Linked DNA regions of Tamandua tetradactyla. The protein of the gene in region 1 purifies or fractionates together with the protein of each later gene. This does not show direct contact. Links are inferred from orthologs where the notes say so. Each region holds a gene or a part of one and is shown on either strand. Other genes may lie near its edges.

Evidence for each region.
Region 2: the proteins of MED9 (region 1) and POLR2B purify together in Homo sapiens (affinity purification with mass spectrometry; 4 studies listed by BioGRID and IntAct, with this or other methods). This does not show direct contact. The link is inferred for Tamandua tetradactyla from reciprocal best matches to the Homo sapiens genes MED9 and POLR2B.

Annotation. Positions count from the first base shown.
Region 1 is NC_135332.1:1,171,632-1,182,032, forward strand, and holds the start of MED9 (mediator of RNA polymerase II transcription subunit 9), read left to right. Parts: upstream 1-5,933; 5' UTR 5,934-5,978; coding exon 5,979-6,205; intron 6,206-10,401.
Region 2 is NC_135345.1:57,599,416-57,609,914, forward strand, and holds the start of POLR2B (DNA-directed RNA polymerase II subunit RPB2), read left to right. Parts: upstream 1-5,585; 5' UTR 5,586-5,706; coding exon 5,707-5,725; intron 5,726-10,499. Other genes in the region: NOA1 (nitric oxide-associated protein 1), read right to left, coding at 1,956-2,161, 2,713-2,877, 3,803-4,952. UniProt on the Homo sapiens protein: Catalytic core component of RNA polymerase II (Pol II), a DNA-dependent RNA polymerase which synthesizes mRNA precursors and many functional non-coding RNAs using the four ribonucleoside triphosphates as substrates.

The sequences.
Region 1 (10,401 bases):
GCTATTTTGGGTCTTCATGGGGAAGGAACAGATCAGCCCAGGTAGAGTCACACGTATCCCGTGGTGTGGGCAGTCTCAGGTGCAGTCTGGTTTTTGTTTCATAATGAATAATGATGGGGGGTTGGGTTTTGAGAAATTAACAATCATAAAAAAGGTAGCAGCAGGGGCTGGAACTTAAATAGGGCTGATCAGGTGCCAGGCGCGGCTCGCAGCAGTTTGTACATAGCTGTCCCACGAGGAAGGTACTAGCATTTGCAGACAGGGAAACTGAGGCACAGGAAGATTAAGTAACTGGTCCAAGGTCACAGAGAAAGTTAATGGAGCCCGGCTTTTAGTGTATCCCACCCCCATAACTGTCAGTTGTTACAATGCTTACCGTTTGCCTCTATTCCTTTTGTAATAGAAACAAGGAAACGCTGCACAGACAGCAGCAGAGCCTGTCAATTCCCACCCCTGGCCCAGGACAGGTAACACAGCCCCGAATATGATGGGGATGTGTCCACTAGCTCTGTTTTAATGATTTATTTTTATTGGTATACATTATATATTTTATACCATGTAATTATCCAAAATGTACAGTCAATGGCCCACAAAGTCATCATTCAGCTGCGCATTCATCAGCACAATTGACTTTTTTTTTCTTTTCTGTGAAAAATAGCATATATATATAAAGCAATAAATTTCAAAGCACAGTGCAACAATTAGTTGTAGAACAGATGTCAGAGTTTGGTATGGGTTACAATTCCACGATTTTAGGTTTTTTACTTCTAGCTGCTCTAAGATACTGGAGACTAAAAGAAGTATCAATATAATGGTTGAGCAATTGTACTCATTTGTTAAACCTGACCTTCTCTGTATAACTCCACCATCACCTTTGATCTTTCTCCCAATCTTTAGGGGTGTTGGGGCTATGTCCACTCTAACTTTTTCATGTTGGAAGGGTCTGTCACTAATATGGAGTAGGGAGATGGAACTAGCTGATGTTCTGGAGAGGCTGGGCCCTCTAGGTTTCAGGACTTACCTGGTCCAGGGACCCATCTGGAAGTTGTAGGCTTCTGGAAAGTTACCCTAGTGCCTGGAACCTTTATAGAATCTTATATATTGACCTAGGTGTTCTTAAGGATTGGCAGGAATGGTCCTGGTTGGGGTTTGGCAAGTTATGATAGGTAGCAATGTCTAACTGAGGTTTGCCTTAAGAGTGCCTCCAGAGCCGCCAGATTTAAAAATTTTTTAATCTTCTTATGGAAATGTATATAAGACAATTTGCCATTTGACCCGTTTCTAAGTGCACCATTCATGGCGTTGTGCTCTCATCACCACCGTCCTGGGCAAAAACCCTCCCATCACCTCAAAACGAAACTCTGCGCTCATCAGGCAATAACCTTCCATGCTCTGTCACGCTCCAGCCCCTGGTGACTTCCGGTCTTTCTGTTTCTATGAATCTGCTTATTCTGGACATTTCAGATGAGTGGAATCATACAATATTTGTTCTTTTGCACCTGACATCTCACTCAACATGATACCTTCGAGGTCTACCCATTTTGTCGCATGTATCAATACATCACTCCTTTTCACGGCTGAGTGATATTCCAGTGTGTGTGTGTGTGCGTGCACACACACACCACACTTTGTTCATCCGTTTGACTGATGGACGCCTGTGTTGTCTCCGCCTGCTGGCAACCATGAACGATGCCACTGCGAACCCCAATGTGCAGTTGTCCCTTGGGTCCCTGCTTCCCATTCTTTCGAGCCTCCAGTTCCTTTTAAAAACTGACATTGATATAATCCGTCATGCCCTCTACATCCCGCCTGCTTTAGACTGGCTTTCTGTCAACATTGTAACTGTGACCTGCAGCTAAGCCACTCAGACTGCCCTGCTCAATCCCACATTCGGCCACTGAGCACATGAAAAAATCAGCAAAATACCTCATTAAAAATTCTCAATGTAGATAACATGTTGAAGTGACAATGTTTTCGATATGTCCGTTTAAAGTATATTATTAAAATTAATTTCACTTGGGTTTTTTGCTAGCTTGTTTGATTTTCTAACATGGCTACCAGAAAACTGAAGCTGACAGAGGCAATTCTCGTTGGCGGCCTGCGTTATATTTCCAGGAAGGGCACTCATCTAGATCATTCCATTCAGCTGCCCGCAGTCTGATTCTAATTGGTGAATAACTACTGTTTACTGTGCGCAGAGACCTTCCCGAGGGCCTCACATGTAATGACTCATTCATCCCCCGTGAAGTTGCATGAGGTTAAGCAATTGTTAAACAAGGTGAAGTTAAAGAATTGTCCAAAGTCCCAGGACTTCACCAAAGCTGAGCTGGGATGGGGCGGCCAGCAGGTGCCTCCAGGGCCTGGACTCGGAGCCACCAAGGTGACTGGAACTAGCCAAGAAAGAGTGCAAACCTGCCTAAGCACGCCATACCCAGAGAGGTCAACTTCACAAAGTTTACAGCATCAAACTCTCCTTTCATACCAGGGAAGCACCTGCCCGTTCTGACGTTTAGCAGAGCTGCTATAAACACACATTTGTTGTGGCAATTTCAGCTTTAATGAAACCAGCTCAGGCAGTATTTTTCTGACATCTGCTTGCAGTGTTATGAAGTCAGCTTTTCTCTTGGCCAGTAATGAAATTAACTATTTTTAGGGCAAACCGTCAATGTGGTATACTTGTCCAGGCTTGCTACGCTTTCAATTTGTTTTTCTTTAGCCATATCTATTTATACCTGAAGTATTTTTGTTGTTTTTAAAGACATTCTGTCAAGGATAAAGTTAAGGCTTTATAAAGTAGACTGGGAGAAGAAAATGGGGATATTATCGATAGATACTGGATTGCCTTCTGAATTCTAATCTTTTGGATGCAAAGGTTCAGAATTGGAAGGGCTTGGAATCAGGCAAACTTCTCTGCTTTTTTGCTGTGTGAGCCAGAGGCCCGTATCCAAACCATCATAAGCCTTGGTTTACTCATCTATAAAATAGGGCTTCTCCAGCCACCTTCAGGAACCGCTTTGTGAATTAAACGAGGCGATGGCTATAGCTCAGCTCCTTTTATCTCGTTCACCCCATGGCAATGTGGGAGGTGCTACCATCATCATCACCGTCACAGCTACTCCTTCTGGTCCTTTTGTCCTGTGAGTAGTTTCCACATGACTCCAGAGGTGCCCATTTGGCCTCATCACAGCAGCCTTTCCCCTCCACGCTCTACCAGAATCCTGAACTGTCCCTTAGCGGGGAGACATCTACAGTTAGAAGAGAACCCTGTCGCCCTCTTTCCGTCCCTCCTCGCCATCTCTCTGAGAGAAAAGGGCTGAGGCCCGTAACCAAAGCTCTCGTCACACTCCCTAATGCCCACTCCCTGTGGCATACTCGTGCTGCCCAAGGGCCTGCCCCCACGTGCACCTTCCCAGTGCATCTGGAAATGCCAGCAATGGCGCTTTTCCTGAGCATGGCCATCATGTCCTCACGCTCTCCTGCTCATCATGCTGCCTGAAGATGGGCTCCTTGCCTTTCCTCACTGCCCAGGATGGGAGACGGAAGAAGGACAGGCTACACCCACCTAGAGCATTCCTAGTCCATGTTTGCCTCCGCTGACTTGCTAAGCCTAGAATGGGGATCCCCCTTGCCCAGAAATTTCTGGTACAGCCCTCTCATCATACCTGTTTTGAGAATAGTCACAAGCCCACTGTGATGGCTATTTTCACGTGTCAACTTGGCTAGGTCATGTGGTGCAACTGTCTGGTAAAGGAAGCATTGTCCTGATGGCTACTGTGAGAGTATTTTGTAGATGGATTTGCATCTACAATCAGTTGATTGCATCTACGGCCGACTGTATCTACAATCGACAGCAGAGATTGCCCTTAGCAATGAGGAGAGTCTCTTCATCCAATCAAGTGGAGGCCTTAAAGGCAGAACTGATGACTTCAGAAGTCAAAAGGAAGAATTCCTGCTTCTGTGTGTTAGTTTACTAGGCTGCTCCAGCAAATACCATGAAATGGGTTGGCTTAAACAATGGGAATTTATTAGCTTATAGTTTTGAGGCCAGGAAAATGTCCAAATCAAGGCATCATCAAGGTGATGCTTTATTCCTGAAGACCAGCTGCTGGTGACCCTTGGCTTCTCTGCCACATGCCAAGGCACACGGTGGTATCTGCTGGTCTCTCCCTTCTCTTCTAGGTTTCATTGATTTCAGCTTTTTGCTTCCGTGGCTCTCTCTTTCTCTGCATTTCACTCTCTTCTAAAGAACTCAGTATTAGAGTACGGCCCATCCTGAATGAGGTGGGTCACACCTTAACTGAAGTAGCCTCATCAAAAGATCCTACTTTCAATGGGTCCGCACCTACAGGAATAGATTAAATTTAAGCATATGCTTTTTTCTACTTCAGCTAGCCTGCTTCTCTCAGGGGATTCATCCTCACCTTCGTCAGAATACCCAATCTTAAGCCTTCCATACAGAGTTGGTGTTTGTCAATCCTCACGTGTGCCGGTTTGAATCTGTGGTGGACCCCAGAAAACCCAAAAGTTCTTTAATCCTCACTCAATATTGCTGGGTGGAGGCTTTTTGAATGTTCCCACGGAGATGTGACCCACCCAATTGAGGGTGGTCACTTCTGATTAGGTGATTTCCATGGAGATGTGTCTCCACCCATTCAAGGTGGGGTTGCTTACTGGAGCCCTTTAAGAGGGAAACATTTTGGAAAAAGCTTTAGAGCTCACAGAGCCAGAGACCTTTGGAGTTGAAGAAGGAAAATGCCCCTGGGGGACCTCCATGAAACAGGAAGCCAGGAAAGAAAGCTAGCAGATGTCGTCATGTTCACCATGTGCCTTTCCATTGGAGAGAGAAACTCTGAACGTCATCCGCCTTCTTGAACCCAGGGATCTTTCCCTGGATGCCTTCGATTGGACGTTTCTATAGCCTTACTTTAATTGGGACATTTTCACAACTTTAGAACATGTAAACTTACAACTTAATAAATTTCCCTTTTTAAAAGCCATTCCATTTCTGTTATATCACATTTCTAGCAGCTTGCGTTGCCCCAGACAATTCCTAAAATAAAACTCTCACTATTTACATATTCTGTTGCTCTGGCAAACCCCAATACACCCACCAAAACCCCACCTCTCTGGCCTGGGATGCTAGGAGGTCCTTGTGCAAATGAGACCTTTGGGGTCAGCCACATGACTGCATTCCAGGGCGATGCGGTTGAGGCTCGCCGCGACCCTGAACCAGGTAAGGCTGTAGGTGTGATGAAGCTGGTCCGCCGCGAGTACCTGAGGCCATTTTCCCTCCGGCGGCGATACTGACCCATCCCTCTGTCTTCTGTGGGCGTTGGGACTGTCCCCCTCCTTTAGAAGTCCGCCCAGCCCCTGCGGCCAGCAGGTGCTCTCGCCACCTCGTCGGCCGGCCTCCGCAGTCCTAGGAGTTCTGCAGGCCCACAGCTGGCCGTCTCTGGACCCTTCGGGCTGGCCCAGGGTGCGGCCGCGGGAGAGCGGCGCCAGCCCGGGTGGCGTCTTCTCCTGGGCGCGGTGGGGTACGGCCAGTCCCCCGCCCCGCCATTCCCGTGGGCCCCCCCGGAGGCCCCCCAGGAGGCCCTGCAGGGGCTGGGCCGCGCCAGGCCTAGTCATCTCACGGCTTCCGGCTTTGGTTGCCTTTCTATCCTCGTCGTCAGCAGAACAGAAATAAAGACTGTGTTATTTTTGGAAATAAATCTCCTAATTCTGAGTAGTTAATAATTGAGTTATCCTGACCCACAGCTCATGCAGGCCACCCCAGGCCCGCCAACACGCCGTCGCCTAGCAACAGCATTCCCCACCCGCTCCCTGCGCTTCGGCTCCGCCCAGGCGGCAGTGCGCACGCGCAGAGCCGCCTCCGCGCCCCGACGCCGCGCAGTAGTGACGTGTGCGACCCGCGACGCTTCCGGTGGGTGGGCTCTTCCGGGGCGGCCTGCTGACCGACTGACCGTGCCTCCCGTGCCATGTCCTCCTCCGGGGTGGCCGGCGGGCGTCAGGCCGAGGATATCTTACCGCCGCCCGCCGAGCCGTCGCTGCCCGAGACCAAGCCGCTGCCGCCGCCCCAGCCGCCGCCGCCGGCCGCCGCGTCCCAGCCGCAGCCGTCGCCGGCACCGAGGCCGCAGTCCCCCGCGGGCGTGAAGGAGGAGGAGAACTACTCCTTTTTACCTCTGGTGCACAACATCATCAAATGGTAAGGGCCTCCAGGAGGACTCGCCCGCGACGTTCCCGCCTGCCTCTTACACCCGTTTCAGAGCTGAAGAGGCCTGGGCTCTCTTAGGCCCGTCCCGTTTTACAGATGGGGAAACTGAGACCCAGAGGGAGAAGAGAACTTCCCGAGACCACACAGGGACCTTCCAGGCATTCAGCAAACGCTCTGAGCCCTCAGAGTGGCCAGGCCCCTGATGGCTGGTTGATGTGAACAAAAACGAAGCCAGTTTAGAGACTGAGTGCACTGGCTTTGGTATGAAAGGGCTCGCATGAAGTCAGTTAAGCCTCTGTGACCTCAGTTTCTCACTTCTAATATCCGGATAATAGAACCCTTCTTCCTTTTTTCATTTAGCCAAAAGTTATGGCTCTTCTTCCCTGTGTGGCGCTACTTGCTAGGGGATGTTCGGATTTAAAAACGCTGTATTAGTTTAAGCTGCCAGAATGCAATATACCAGAAACAAGGGGCTTTTAAAAGGGGATTCAATAGTTACAAGTTTACAGTTCTAAGGCGGTGAAAATGTCTAAATTAAGGCACCCGTAAAAGGTTACCTTCAAGAAAGGCTCCCGCCCTCTGAAACACCTCTGTCAGCTGCAAAGGCACGTGGCTGGCGGCTGCTGGTCCTTGTTCCCAATTCTGTTGCTTCCAGCTTCTGATGCCAGTGGTTTCCTTTCTAAGCATCTGTGTGCCTTCACTTCGCATCTTTGGAACACAGTTCTGGGTTCTAGTTTACTTAGCATCTCATGGGTACGGGCATGTGCTCTCTCTGTGTTGGAAGCATCTTTAAACATCCATGTCTCTGTCAGCTCCGAAGCAGTTGTTCTCCAAGCTTCTGTATCTGTGTCAGCTCTGAGCTCCCTCCAAAATATTTCTCCCTTTAAAGACTCCAGTGAACTAATCAGGACCCACCTGAGATGGGTGGAGTCATATTCCATCTAATCGAAAGGTCACACCAGCAACTGGAAGTGCCACATCTCTGGTGATAATCTAATCAAAGGGTTTCTGCCTTACAATATTAAATCAGGATTAAAGGAAACAGCTGTCCCCACAAGATTGGATCAGAATTAGAACATGGCTTTTCTAAGGTACATAATAGTTTCAAAGCGGCACAAGAGCCAAGTTTTCACCCCCATATTTCTTACCAGCTAGTAGAAAAACCCTGACATGAATATGAATAGCCCATAATTCAGACAAGAGAGGAGAGGGGCGGATGAGGGGGAATCTTAAAGTTGCCCCACTGGATTAGATCCCCTGATTTGACCTTCATTCTAGCATGGTTATCAGAGGGGGTGGTTTGTCATCCTTTTGACCAGCCTTCAGGTAAGCCTGAATTTTCAAACTGACCCCTAAAAAGGAAAAAAAGTTTCTCTAAACCCCATATGTACTTAAATTATTTTTCTTGTTATATTACTTGAATATATAGTCACATAATACTAGGTGTGCTTATGCTTAGAACCCTTATTCAAAATGAAGTACATTAAAATTACCACTTCAGGAAAGTTCAAACGAGCATTAATGTGCTCTGTGAGGTTTTGCTGAAATGAAATTGCTACTCACAACACGAACATACTATTGACAGCCTAAATTCTTTTGAGGTTAGCCACCCTCAGTTCACTTGTCATGGGTGACATGACGTTTCCACTGCTGTTTTATTCAGACAGCTCCAAGACCCTTGCTAGGCCCTGATGCCCGTGGGCTTTGCCTGGTGTGAGCGCACCATGTGTAACTTAGGGCAGACTCGTTAGTGTGACGGTCAGGTAGGGCAGACTCTCAGGTAGTATTTCCTGGCAGCAAACAGAAAAGCAGATGCAGACCCTGCAGTCCTGGCAGAAATGAATTATAAAGGCCTTAGCCAGGTTAACACGAATATGCATACCAATTTTAAGAAAGCTCCAAAATGAGAACAGAAGGCCCAGATGCTTAGAGATACCTCTTGGACCCACAGGAGGTGCGTTCCTGAGCCCTAGAGGAGCAATGGGCTTGGGCAGTTGAGTATACTAGAGAGAACACAGGCTTCGGAGGCAGAAGGCCTGCATTCAGATCTGTGCGCTGATGCCTTCTTACTTTATAATCTTGCTAAATACTTAACTTTTCTAAGTCTTAATTTTCTTAACTCTAAAATGTGAAAAACATGAGTTCACATTACAGCTCTGAAACTTACTGACTGGGTGACCTTGGGCAAGTAACTTAAATTCTCTGTGATTCTTTTTCTCTTATGAAAGGGATAGTTTTTAGAAGCATAAAGCGAAAGAACAGGATAAAATATGGTTACCACAAAGTGGACACCCAGCCCTTAGCAGTCTGAATCCCAAGCCGAAAGCAGTCTGCCCTACAGAGAGCCAGGGCCTCCCCCAAAATCTCAGGAGTTGGCAATGCCAGGAACTGGAGTAGGGGTGAAGGTGAGAGACCACCAAGGATCACCTAAAAGTAAGCCAGATCTCAGTCTTCTGCCCCGGCTCCAGGCCACCAGATGACTGCCCTTCTTCCGTCTTTGCAGAGGATGAGAGGGCTGTTTTTTTTTAGGAAAGAGTCAGCCAGAGAATCTCTGGACTAGGAGACTGTGGGCACCCTTCAGGTATCAGGGGGAGCCATACTGAAAATTGGGACAGAGAGAATGCTGGCAAACTGCAGGGTGCCTTCCACCCCCCCCCAGGCTGCTTCTGGCGGGCTTGTTCCCTTTCAGGCAGGAGTGTGGGGCAGTCTCTGGGGGTCTGACCAGCCCAAGAGAAGAGACGCGGCTGCCCCAAGCATAGCTGAGTCCAGTCATTAGATACTCATGCTGACGCTCAGAGGGTCTGTTAAGCCTCGGAGTGTTTGACCCTTAAACCTGTGACTGGGCAGCTGAGATCGCTGAGCATTTGGAGATAAACCCTGTAAGAAAGAGGACAAAACAGAATCCAGGAAAAGCCACTTGGAGGAAGCAGTAGGCTCTGAGCGATGAAGAGAGAGTGTTGCTGTGAAAAAAAGACTAGGATCCAATTAAAAATGTCATTATATAGGCATCTATTTGACTTTCTAGGCTCGTGAGAGAAAGATATGGAATGTAAGTGGCAGGTGGAAGTATGCATGAGGAGCAAGGAAGAGGCAGCCTCTTCCCGCTTGGAGGTGTCAGAACGCCTGAGGGATGATGCCAGAAGCGAGTCTGAAAGGGAAGAGGGAGGCAAAGTGCTGGAGGGGGAGGATGGGTGAAGACTGGAAGCCGGGCAGCAGCGTGCTTGGGGAGGGGCCATCAGTTTGCCTTGCAGGAGTGTGAGAGCCCACAGTGGGTGGGGCAGGAAGGAAGAGCCAGAAAGGAGGGAAGAACTTGGATGCTGCGGCCAGTGCACCCCCTGAAGGAGCAGGGTTGGGGAGCCAGGGATGACCTGCCCTGACGGATGCCTGAGGTGGGTGCGGCTGCAGCAGTCCTGGGAGGCGGGGTGGGGCTGGGCCAGTCCTTTGACTCTCTGTCTACTCCTTCTCCAGGGGTGAATAAGGAACAGACCTCAAGGAGTCAGTGTGGTCTTTCTTGTTCTCACAAAGGATTCAGAGTGCCACATCATTAAAGTTTCTTTAAAAATGTATTTAATAAACATAACAATGGCAAATTCACAAATACAGAGAGGTACGAAATGAAATAATGTTCCTTCCCCCAAACGCTTCACCAGCAATAAATGCTGTCAATATGTAAGTATCCTTCTAGAAATTATATATGCATATTTTTTAAATGTTATGCAAATTGAGATCATACCATACTTTGCTTTTTTTACTTTATAGTGTATTTTGGAGCCTTTTTCATGGTGCACAAAATGATCTATCCCCTAAAGCAGCTGCAGAAAATTCCATCTTACGAGTACACTTTGGTTGATGTGACTAACTAGTCTTCTGTACATGGACTTTTAGGTGTTTTTCTAAGTTTTTGCTCTGACCAGTAATGCTGGGATAAGTGTCTTTGTATTCGAGTGACTTTATTGTGAAATAAATCCTCAGCAGTGGAATTGCGGGATTGGAGGGTATTTTTTTAAAATTGTGATAGCTATTGCTAAATGTAGAATGTTGTATTTTTTTAATTGTTAAATATAACATACATACATAGAAAAGTAAAAAAACAATGATTTTCAAAGTGTACTTCATTACGTAGATACAGAACAGATTTCAGAGTTTGTTATGGGTTACCATTCCACTATTTCAGATTTTCCTTCTAG
Region 2 (10,499 bases), on another chromosome or scaffold:
AGGTAAGAATTAGTTGATGAAGTTGAAGTGACAGAACAGAACACTATTAGAAAGCAGCATTGTTATGGTGACATTATTGATTACTAAGGAATCAAAAACTGGGCACAATTACTTTAGGAGGGTAGAAAAAAGTTAAATGATCAACGTGATTCTTTGACACAGGATACTGGCTAGAATACAATTCTGAGAGTGAAATTATAAGTGATCCTGATGAGGCAAAGGAAGGAAAAATACTTAAGAACTTGGTGTTCTATCACAGGGTGTGCTGGTTTGAAAGGAAGTACGCCCCCTAAGAAAAGCCATGTTTTAATATAAATCCCATTTCATAAAGGTAGAATAATCCCTACTCAATACTGTATATTTGAAACTGTAATGAGATCATCTCCCGGGTTGATGTGATTTAGTCAAGAGTGGTTGTTAAACTGGATTAAGGGACGACATGTCTCCACCCATTTGGATGGGTCTTGATTGGTTTATTGGAGTCCTACAAAAGAGGAAACATTTTGGAGAGAGAGATTCAGGGAGAGCAACACTATGAAGCTGAGAGTCCACCAGCCAGTGATCTTCGGAGATGAAGAAGGAAGATGCCTCCCGGGGAGCTTCATGAAACAGGAAGCCAGGAGAGAAAGCTAGAAGATGACGCTGTATTTGCCATGTGCCCTTCCAGATGCGAGAGAAACCCTGAGTGTGTTTGCCATGTGCCTTCTCATTTGAGAGAGAAACACTGAACTTCATCAGCCTTCTTGAACCAAGGTATCTTTCCCTGGATGCCTTTGATTGGACATTTCTATAGACTTGTTTTAATTGGGACATTTTCTCAGCCTTAGAACTGTAAACCAGCAACTTATTAAATTCCCCTTGTTAAAAGCCATTTCATTTCTGGTATATTGCATTCCGGCAGCTAGCAAACTAGAACACAGGGAGATACAGACATAATTAAGTGAATTAGAAACTGGTCAGTAACCAGATTCAAAGGATACTGATTAACAGATCTGTTGCAAGAAACAAGCTTGAATCAATCAACAACTTGGATGAAAATCAAAACTGCAAATGAAAATAAAATTTGCAAGATCGAAAGCTGCCATGAGATCCTACAATTGGATTCAAATGATGTATAAAGGCAGGACAGGTAGAGTTAACCCTATTCCAAACTAAACTCATCTGAGGGCACTGATGCAAAAATTCAGTTCTGAGTATCATACTTTAAGAAAAACAAAAGAAATAAAACATTCTGAAAGGCAGCATGGGATGATGAATAAATGGTTGTGGCCCTATCTCTCAAAGAGAATAGCTGTAGGAAAGGAAGACAAATTACCTGGATTATGTCAGCATGCGTGTTCAATGTTCATCAGATGAACAAATGAAAGAGAAGAAAAGGGTAAGGATAGAAGGACAATGAGAGAGGACATTGACCTTTAAAATAATCAAGGTCTTGTAAGGAAATTACATTGGCATTACATTGGTTTCATAGAACTTCAAGAATGGGTCTAACATACAGGGAAACTCTTCAGCTGAACACAAAGAGAATCAAAGACTAAATGGGTTACCTGGGGAGGTAAAGTGATACTGCTTTAGCTGATGGGTGAGTCACTCTTAAGTTCAAGCTGGATGACCTTTTCATGTATGTGTTATAAAGGGAATTCAAGCATGGAATAAGTAGTTGAACTGCAGCAGTAATGTCTGAGATTTCCTTCCAACCTCAAAGGTCTAGGATTCTGTAAATGTCTCTTAACCAACATTAACACCCACAATGATAATGCAAATAGGTTGTCAGCAGTGAAGTCTACCAAATATAATGCAGTACTAGAAGGTATATGGAGTCATCTGTGAATTGCTTCTATGAATGAATCAGAACTGAGTCTAAAATGAAAGTATAGTCCCTTTTCTTGTTTCTGCCAATTAATACAGTACTTACACAATGACAGTTAATATTTCTAAAACAAACCAATACATACACAATTTTCCTTTGTAATTCCAGGAGTATCATAAAACCAGTGGGAATCTTTCACATCTTGTGGGGTCAATTCTACTTTTTTGGTGGATTTTTCTGCAACCAGAACAGGTTCATTTTCCATGTCAACGGCAAGTGAATCAGCATCAAACTCAAAGGCAGCTTCATCCGTCTTTTCTTTTGAGTATAGGAATGTTTTTCCAACTCTTCCTGGAATAAGTTATCAGGTGCTCCTTTAAAACTTTTGACTCCAGACAGTTTTTTGCTTGTTTCAAATAAATTACTAACTACAGCAAATGGAAACAATGCTATCTTTGTAACAAAGCATGAGAGTTACACTGTTGCAATGATCAAGTGTGTGTCTGGCTGGGCACACATGGGGGGTGGGGGAAGGTTGGAAATCAAACTTTTTAATAAAGGAAGGCTGAAAAGGGATACCAAGGAAAGGGGACAGCTCAGTTTTTAAGCTGCTGCATGAAATGAACAGTCTTTACTATCTGTAACGGTCTACCTGGCAGAGGGAATAGCTTGGGGAAAATGCTTCTACCACTGACATTGTCTAGGTGGACAGTTATTGCATGCTTCCTTTCCTGGACTTCTCTAAGTATCACAATCTCCATTTTCACAGATTACTGAACTTCCAAAAAGTAGCCATGCTTTAAAAGGGCTCTAAGTTCTAATGACCAGACAGCTGTATTTCAGGTTGCTCAACAAAGAATTTTGGCATAGAACCATTACGTTTTCCTGTGGAAGATGCTTACCTACTATATAACCATGCTTTTTCAAGATATTAAGTTGACTTTGTTCTTGCTTAGTAAGAGCTTCTTCAGATTCAGCCGCATCTTTTTTAAGCCTCTTGTGCCTTTCAAACATTCTGTAAGGAGTTGGGTTGCAAATAGGAAACCTAAGAAGGTTTAATGTAGTACCTGAAATACCAAAGAATAAGTATGTTTTTATAAACATTGTACCAAAAAAGGGAGTAAAAGGAGGAAAACTATCAGTTTTGAGGAGCTACACTGTGTTCTATCTTAATCAACCCTTGATATGACCCTCTATAAAATTATTTTCATTTTAGAGATGAGGAAACAGTCTCAGAGACTGGATCATAGCCTAGACTAGGATTTGAATTCTAGTTCCTGTAGGCTTAAATTTTTTCCATTTTCACCATGCTACCATTCAGTACAAAAGCACGTCTATGTATAATGCAACTAAAGTGTAAGCAAGATAGGGAAGAAAAACAGTTTACCAAACAAAATTAAACTGATTTCAAAGGAATAAACGGGGCAGCTAGTAACACTAAAGAGTCAACTGTTAAATACAAACATGGTCACAGAAGGAGCCATTTACAGAAACTTCTGTGACAAAGTAGACATTTCTTCTCAACAAAGCCACATATATTGCATTAGTGAATTACTCAAATGTTAAACATGCATAGCATACTTTCTCATGAATAAACTCAAGACGTGGGGAGTAGGATTGCAGAGTGAAAGGAAGTTCATGGAGTAAAAGGAAGCACGACTTTTGGGAGGAACATAAAACTAGAAGGCTATAAGGGAAACGTCCAAGAGGGTAGGACGTTTCCTGGCGTATCGCCATTTCCTAGAACAGCGACTGACACAAAGAAGTGCTCCATAAGTATTTCCACTAGAAAATTAGTAAAAAAATATATAGTATCTCCAAGCACTAAACTGACTCAGAAAAGAGACTAGTGTCCTAAGGAGAGAATTTTAAAAGGAAAGATTCCAGGCACCCCCTGGTGGACATTATACAGAGATGTAATCGGAGCCTCGGGCCACCACCAGACATCCGTCTTCTCAGAGAGCGAAAAAGGCCGAGGCTCTTAAGGCTCACCTGGCCATGGGGAGATGGTAGCTCTGTCGATGGCCTCCGCGCCCTTGGCGGTGCAGTAGTCCGACTCCAGGAGTGTGTTGAAGAGAGTGGACTTGCCGGCGTTGGTGCCGCCGACCAGGTAGACATCGCCGCGGTAGCGCCAAGAGCGCTGAAGCGCGGTGATCAACTCTTCCACCCCGTAACCGGTCTTGGCGCTGATCAGCCGCACGTCCCTGAGCACCGTACGGTGCTGGGACGGCGGATTCCGTTTCTCCGCCAGCTCCCGAGACCCATTTCTGCCCGGGTCCTGTGGCCCCTGGTGGCTAGGGGATGGCCGGAGCCCGGCGCGGACACAGTCATCCCAAAGACGATCGCGGAGCCGACGACGGTAGCCCGGGGTGTCTTGGGGCAGCAGGTCCACCTTGTTCCCCAGCACGATCAGCTGCTTGGGGCCCACCATCGCAGGCAGGTCGGGCAGCAGGGCATCGGGCAGGTCCAGCAGATCTACCATGTAGAGCACCAAGGAGGGCCCGGGTCGCCGCAGTGCGGCGCTCACCAGCTCCAGGTACTGCTCGCGGCTCACCTGCACGCGCAGGGCGCGCTGGTGGTGCACCAGTAGCCAGCAGCGCTGGCACACCGTCCGCGCTAGCCCGCCGTCCTCCTGCGCCGCTGCACTGAGGAACTTCTCGCTGGGCAGGTAGCCAGGCACGCTGGGATCCTGGCAATGTAACTCCGCTCCACAGCCCGAGCAGCTCACGCCGCTGGACGGCACCGCCGGGTCTGGATGCCCCATTATCTGGTGCTCCCGACATCTGGCCCGTACCTTCTGCAGCTGCCGCTGCTCCCGCCGCCGTTGCCTCTGCCGCTCCTCCTCCTCCTGCCGCTGCCGTAGCTCCTCCAGCAGCTCTTCGGAGGTCGGTGCGGGCTTTGACTCCAGGATGTACTCGGGGAACAGAAAACGCTCCTCCAAGTCGGGACTTCCACCATAGTCCCGAGTCGCCGTCGGGCCACGAGGAAACTCACGTCCCAGGTTGGAGAAGTGCTGGAAGAAGGAAGCGGCCGTACATCCCCTCCCGAGAAGGGGCTCCGGGAGGCCATGGCGCACTACCACGGGAGCCGATCCCCACAGTAAAGGCCACAGAACTCGGCGCGTTAGAAACGCGGGCAGCATGAGGAACACCGCCCTCCGGCAAAGAGGCGGAGACACGTGCGCACACGCGCACTGGGGCCGGGAGACGAGCTCCTGCTGGTGCCTGGGAGTGGTCACTTGTCACCTGCCTCATCCGGTTCTTCTTTCCACGTCTCATCCCGTGAATTCTCGCGATTGGAGCGCTCTGCTGCAATTGCACCAAGGCCCTAAATAGAAACCTAGACCGGCAGAAGATGATAATGAGCGCTTTGGTTTGTTCATTAAGCTTCTTCAGTGCGCCTCCGCCGGCAAGCCCCTTTCTCCCCTTAGTAAATCACATTTTTGAAAAGCTTAGTGATTTTTGGATTTCAGGAGTGCAAAAAAATAGAAGTGCGGACTCACGGGTCACAATTAAAATCTTTTATTAATAAATCTTTTTGGTTTTTTTGCAGGAGCAAAAAAATGTAACAACAGTGAAAAAACAAAAATCTTCCCAGATATCTTTTGCTGACCGGATCCGACAGGCAAACTACAGTCAGAACTAGCAATCAGCCACGGCGCCATCGGTTTACAATTTGCGCATGCGCAAATTTAACCCCGGACAACCTTACGCTACTATTTGCGCAGACTCAATCCTACAGTTGACTTCTCGTGGGAGGGTTTTAGGTGTAAAACGCAGAGTATTCTGGGAACGTCCCAGACGGAAGTCGTATGGTTTGTGTCTCTGGTTTGCTGCTGCTGCGCTGCATTCTCTCTCAGATTTCTAGAGTTAAGAGCTCGGGAACCGGTTGCCAAAATGTATGACGCGGATGAGGGTAGGTGACCACTCAAAATACGCTTCACGGTGACCCATTTAGGGAGGGAAATTTGGGGAATTGGGTGGATAGAGGATTTGCGGCCTCCCCTCGCCCACTGCACGAGTGGTTTCAGTCATGCTTCCCTACCCCCGCAGGCCGGGAGCGAAGAACATACTGCGTGGGATGGAAGATGCGGGGAAATAGCGTTGATGGTCTCCATACAGTTGGCTCTTATATTTCCCCTATCTCTATTATCTGTGCTGTTAATTCTGATGTCTCCTTACCGTATTGCAAAAGCGTACGGAATCGTTAAGACAAGTTCGTTGTTTTAACGAGGTCTGAAGCAAAGGGCCCCCTTTTTTATTTTTTGGGTTCACAGTTGTCCTGTTTATTGCGTAGTTCAAATTTTGAGCATCGGTTTTGTGCCAGGCATTGAGCTAGGCCCTGAAAATACACCGGAGACAAAGAATGCAGCAGGGGAAGAGATTGCATCTAGTTTGGCCTACCTTCATGTTTTCTTAAGTCTAAATTGTCTTCAAAAAATTACTTTTAAACTTTCTTCTCCCACAAGATGACACAGTTCTAAGATGGTTCAATATATCTTATTTTCTTTTCACTTATATATTTCTTAGTGTATCTTCATGTTGTGTTTTTAAACCTTCCTCTTCCGTTTCTACAGCTGCTATTTCATACTTCATTCTCTTCGAATTTACCATCCCATGGCCACCCCTCACTCTTTTTTCGTTCCTTTAGCTACTTCTCGGAGAAAATAGAAGCAAAAGCTTAAAATACTGCTCTGACTTCTCTGTCTCATTACATCTTTTATCTAGAAATTTATTAGCATTACATTCCTTTATTCTCTTAATTCCTGTTTCAGTGGGAATAAATTTTTAAAGAAGTTTTTTATCTTATTTTTAAGTAGGTAATATATTTTATGGCTCGCAAGTCAGAAAATACAAAAATGTTGAATGTCAGGATTCATTCTTGTTTATCATGTGTCCACAATAGATTAACAAATGTTCTTAGATTCTTATCGCTTTCCAGTGTATCTTATACATATCCAAGCAAAAATAAATGGGATTCTGTATTTTTCTCCCTTTTACAGGCAAAAAGTAGCACTCACACTTTTCTGTACTTTTTTGTTTGCTTGCTTAATACAGCTAGGAGATTTAAATATCAATAGATAGAAAGCTTTCTCCTTTTATTTTTCTCTACAGCAGCTTACTTTGTGTGGATGTACCATAACTCAAGTCTTTTGCTGATGGGCAGTCCTTTTCTAGTTCAAAGATGTTGTAATGAATAATCTTGTACTTATGTCATTTGTATGTCTGTAGTCTGTAAGGTAACGTATGTCTGTAAGATAAACTCCTACATGTGAAATTGATGTATCAAATGATACATATATTTAACATTTTGATAGATGGTGCCAAATGACCGCCATACCTGAGTACTCCCATCTGCCTCCCCAAAATTCTAGAAGTGGTACTGCAATAACGAGGTAGTCACATGGAAAAAAAATGAAATGTGACCCCCACTACACAGCATACAAAAAAAAAAAAGACGAACATAGTGGTTGTACTAATTTAGTTTCCCAGTGGCAATTTAACTTTTTTAAAAAAAATTAAGCTTATCCTGTCAAGTCTTTGCTCTGGCATCAAGTCTACATTCCATTCCTTTGAAATATTTATTAGATATCCCTTCATCAGTTTTCAGGAATTTCTTTTCACTAGCTTCTTTTTATGAGAAAATATCAGAGCTTTCTCATCCTCAGGAAACCGTTTAAGCCCTCTTTCCATCATTTCCTTTTTCTTCCAAAATTTTGCCTTTCTCCTTCCATTCATAGCTAAGCTTCTAGAAGGAATAGGCTATACATGTTGCTTCTAATTCACGTGGTTCATTTTCTCCTCAACCCTTTGCAGTCGGATTCTGCTCATGCCACTATATTAAAACAGCTCTTAATAGGATAAACAGTGACTTGTCAGTTGATAAATTAGATGAACATTTAAAAAAATATATTTTTACAGTAAAAGCTTAACATACAAATATATATTCTTTGACATAAAAACATACCATACATGGTGTACAATCAATGGCTCATAATATCATCTCACAGTTGTATGTATGTTCATCACCATGATCATTTTTTGAACATCTGCATCACCCCAGCAAAAGAAATGAAAAGAAAAAAGATAACACTCAAACATCCCTCACCCCCCTCTCATTGACCACTAGTGTTACCATCTACCCAATTTATTTTACCCTTTGTCCCCCCCATTATTTATTTATTTATTTTTAATCCATATTTTTTACTCATCTATCCATACCCTGGATATGAGGAGCATCAGACACAAGGTTCTCACAATCACACAGTCACATTATAAATGTTATGTGAACATTTTTAAAACTTCATCTTGAACACTGTGGCATTTGGCATAGTTGTTGACTTTGTCCTGGAAACTCACTCCTCCTTTTGCCATGTCACTTTCGCTTGATTCTTCTTACCTTGCAGACTTTTCTTTTCATTCTCTTCTGTTCACATTCATAGCCACTCTTTCTCCTTGAGGGTTCTGTCTGTTAAGTATGTCAAATCTGGTCATTTCTCTCCTATCCACTCTGTCACAGTTGTGGTTCAGACCACTACCGTCACTTGCCTAGATCACTTCCCCAGACTGGTTTCTCTACCTCCAGTCTTACATCTCCTATCCACTTTCCACATTGTGGCCATAATGGCATAATATCCTTTCCAAAATGAAAGCCTGATAATGCCACACCCCTGCTAGTTTGGTTCCTCAGAACTCTTGATAATGACCAACCCTCCTTACCACTTCCAACTTCCAGTTCAGTGATTTAGCTACATTAACCTTCTTTCATTCCTTGGGTGTGCTACACTCTCCTTTTTTTTTTTTTTTTTTTTGTACGCACATTCATTACAACTTTATTTGTGCTAGCTAAAAATCTCAGCAACAAAAAACAGACACATTGTGAACTTTAGATACTGCAGATGTATACCATAACTTAGATAAATCTCAAAAGCAGCATTCTAAGTGAAAGAAGCCACTTGAAAAGACTACATACTATGTGATTCTATTTATTTGAAATTCTAGAAATACAATTGTAGTGATGGAAGGCAGTAGCAGGAGAGATCATTTTGGACTGATGAAAATGTTCCGTATGATCGTGATGGTGGTTACACACTATACGTTTGTTAAAACTTGCCCATTTGCATACTTAAAGTTGATGAATTTTATTTTATGCAAACTATACTGAATAAAGCCTATTTATGGAAAGAAAAAATAAGGAACGCTTTCCCCCGAAAAAAGCAGAAAAGAGGGCGAATAAGACCTAAGGGTTTCTCAGTTTTAGGCCTTTTCCAGGGGCTTCACTGTCTTTTAATTGTGGAGTCTTTTGTACAAGTTGTTTTCCTCTAGTTAGACTACTTCTTTCTTCCACCCCTCCCACCCACATCCCGTCTTTGCCTGATTTACTCCTTTTCATTAAGTCTGTGCTCACCTTACCTTTTGGGAAGTCTTCCCTGCCCTCTGCAGGTCCTGTTGAGAGTATCTATATCATATTGTTTTGCTTAATTGGCTTAATCTTGTCTCTGTCTCTCCAGTAGGCAATACTCTCCCTAAGAATAGTGCTGTCTTTGTATTGATAAGCTAGCCAGTACCTCTGTCCAGTGCTTGGGACATAGGAGACACTCACACTCAATAAATATTGAATGAATGAATGAATGGATAAATCAGTCTCTTTCATGCCTTCATTTTCCTTCACATAACTCTCAAACAGCAATGTTCCCTAATATCTTGCCTTCATTCTTCCGTTCTGTATGTGACTCCTTAATCTGCCACCCATTTGTTACTGATTCCTAAGTCTTTGTAATTTAGGCCCCTCATTAGCACTTAATGTTCATATATAGTTGCCTGCTGGGAGTTTTTTTTTCATTGTAAAGACTGTATTTGAACAATAGATTATATTAAAACTTTAAATTTAAGGCAAACAAGGGAAAATCTGCAGATAGAGATATCAGCATTTATTGTATCTTTTAGAAGCTTTTAAAGAGATAAATGATCCTCAAGCAGCATTTCCTCTCCCTTTTTCACCCCTTCCTCTTTGCTTCTCCTTTATGACTGTGAATTCAACCTCTAAGCTGCTATCAAAGCTGGAAATTACTGACCCATCTTAAATGCCTTTGTCTTCCTTTCCCCTCCCTTCCATGTATAGGGGTTAGTGATTCCAGTCCATTCAAAAAGTATTTATTAAACAATTTCTTTTGGATAGGCATCAATTTTTGAATCCACAATTCTACAGACTATATTTGTAGATCAGACTATAAATATAAAAATACAGGATATTTATTCTTTCACATAATGTGAGAATAATAGTAGAGGACCAGTGCATATTGATTTAACAAATGCCCTCTTGCTCTAGTTACTATTGCTGCATAACTGCCCCATAATTTAGTTGCTTAAAAAATCATTTTATTATGCTCATGGGTTCTATGAGTCAGGAATTTGATCAGGGAATGGCAGGAATGACTTACCTCTGTTCCACAGTGTCTGTGGTTCAACTGGGAACACTTGAAGCTGGGGATTGACTCTACGTTCGGAGCTGAATGACCTGGCATGTTTATTCCCATGTTTGTCACCTAGTTTAGGAGGACTCAAGGATTAGGATTGCTCACTTGTGTATCTGCAAGTGGCTTCTCCATTTAGTTAGGGCTTCCGCACATTATGGCAGCCTCAGAGAAGTAGGACTTCATAATGGCAGCTCAGGGTTCCAGAAGCAAGTT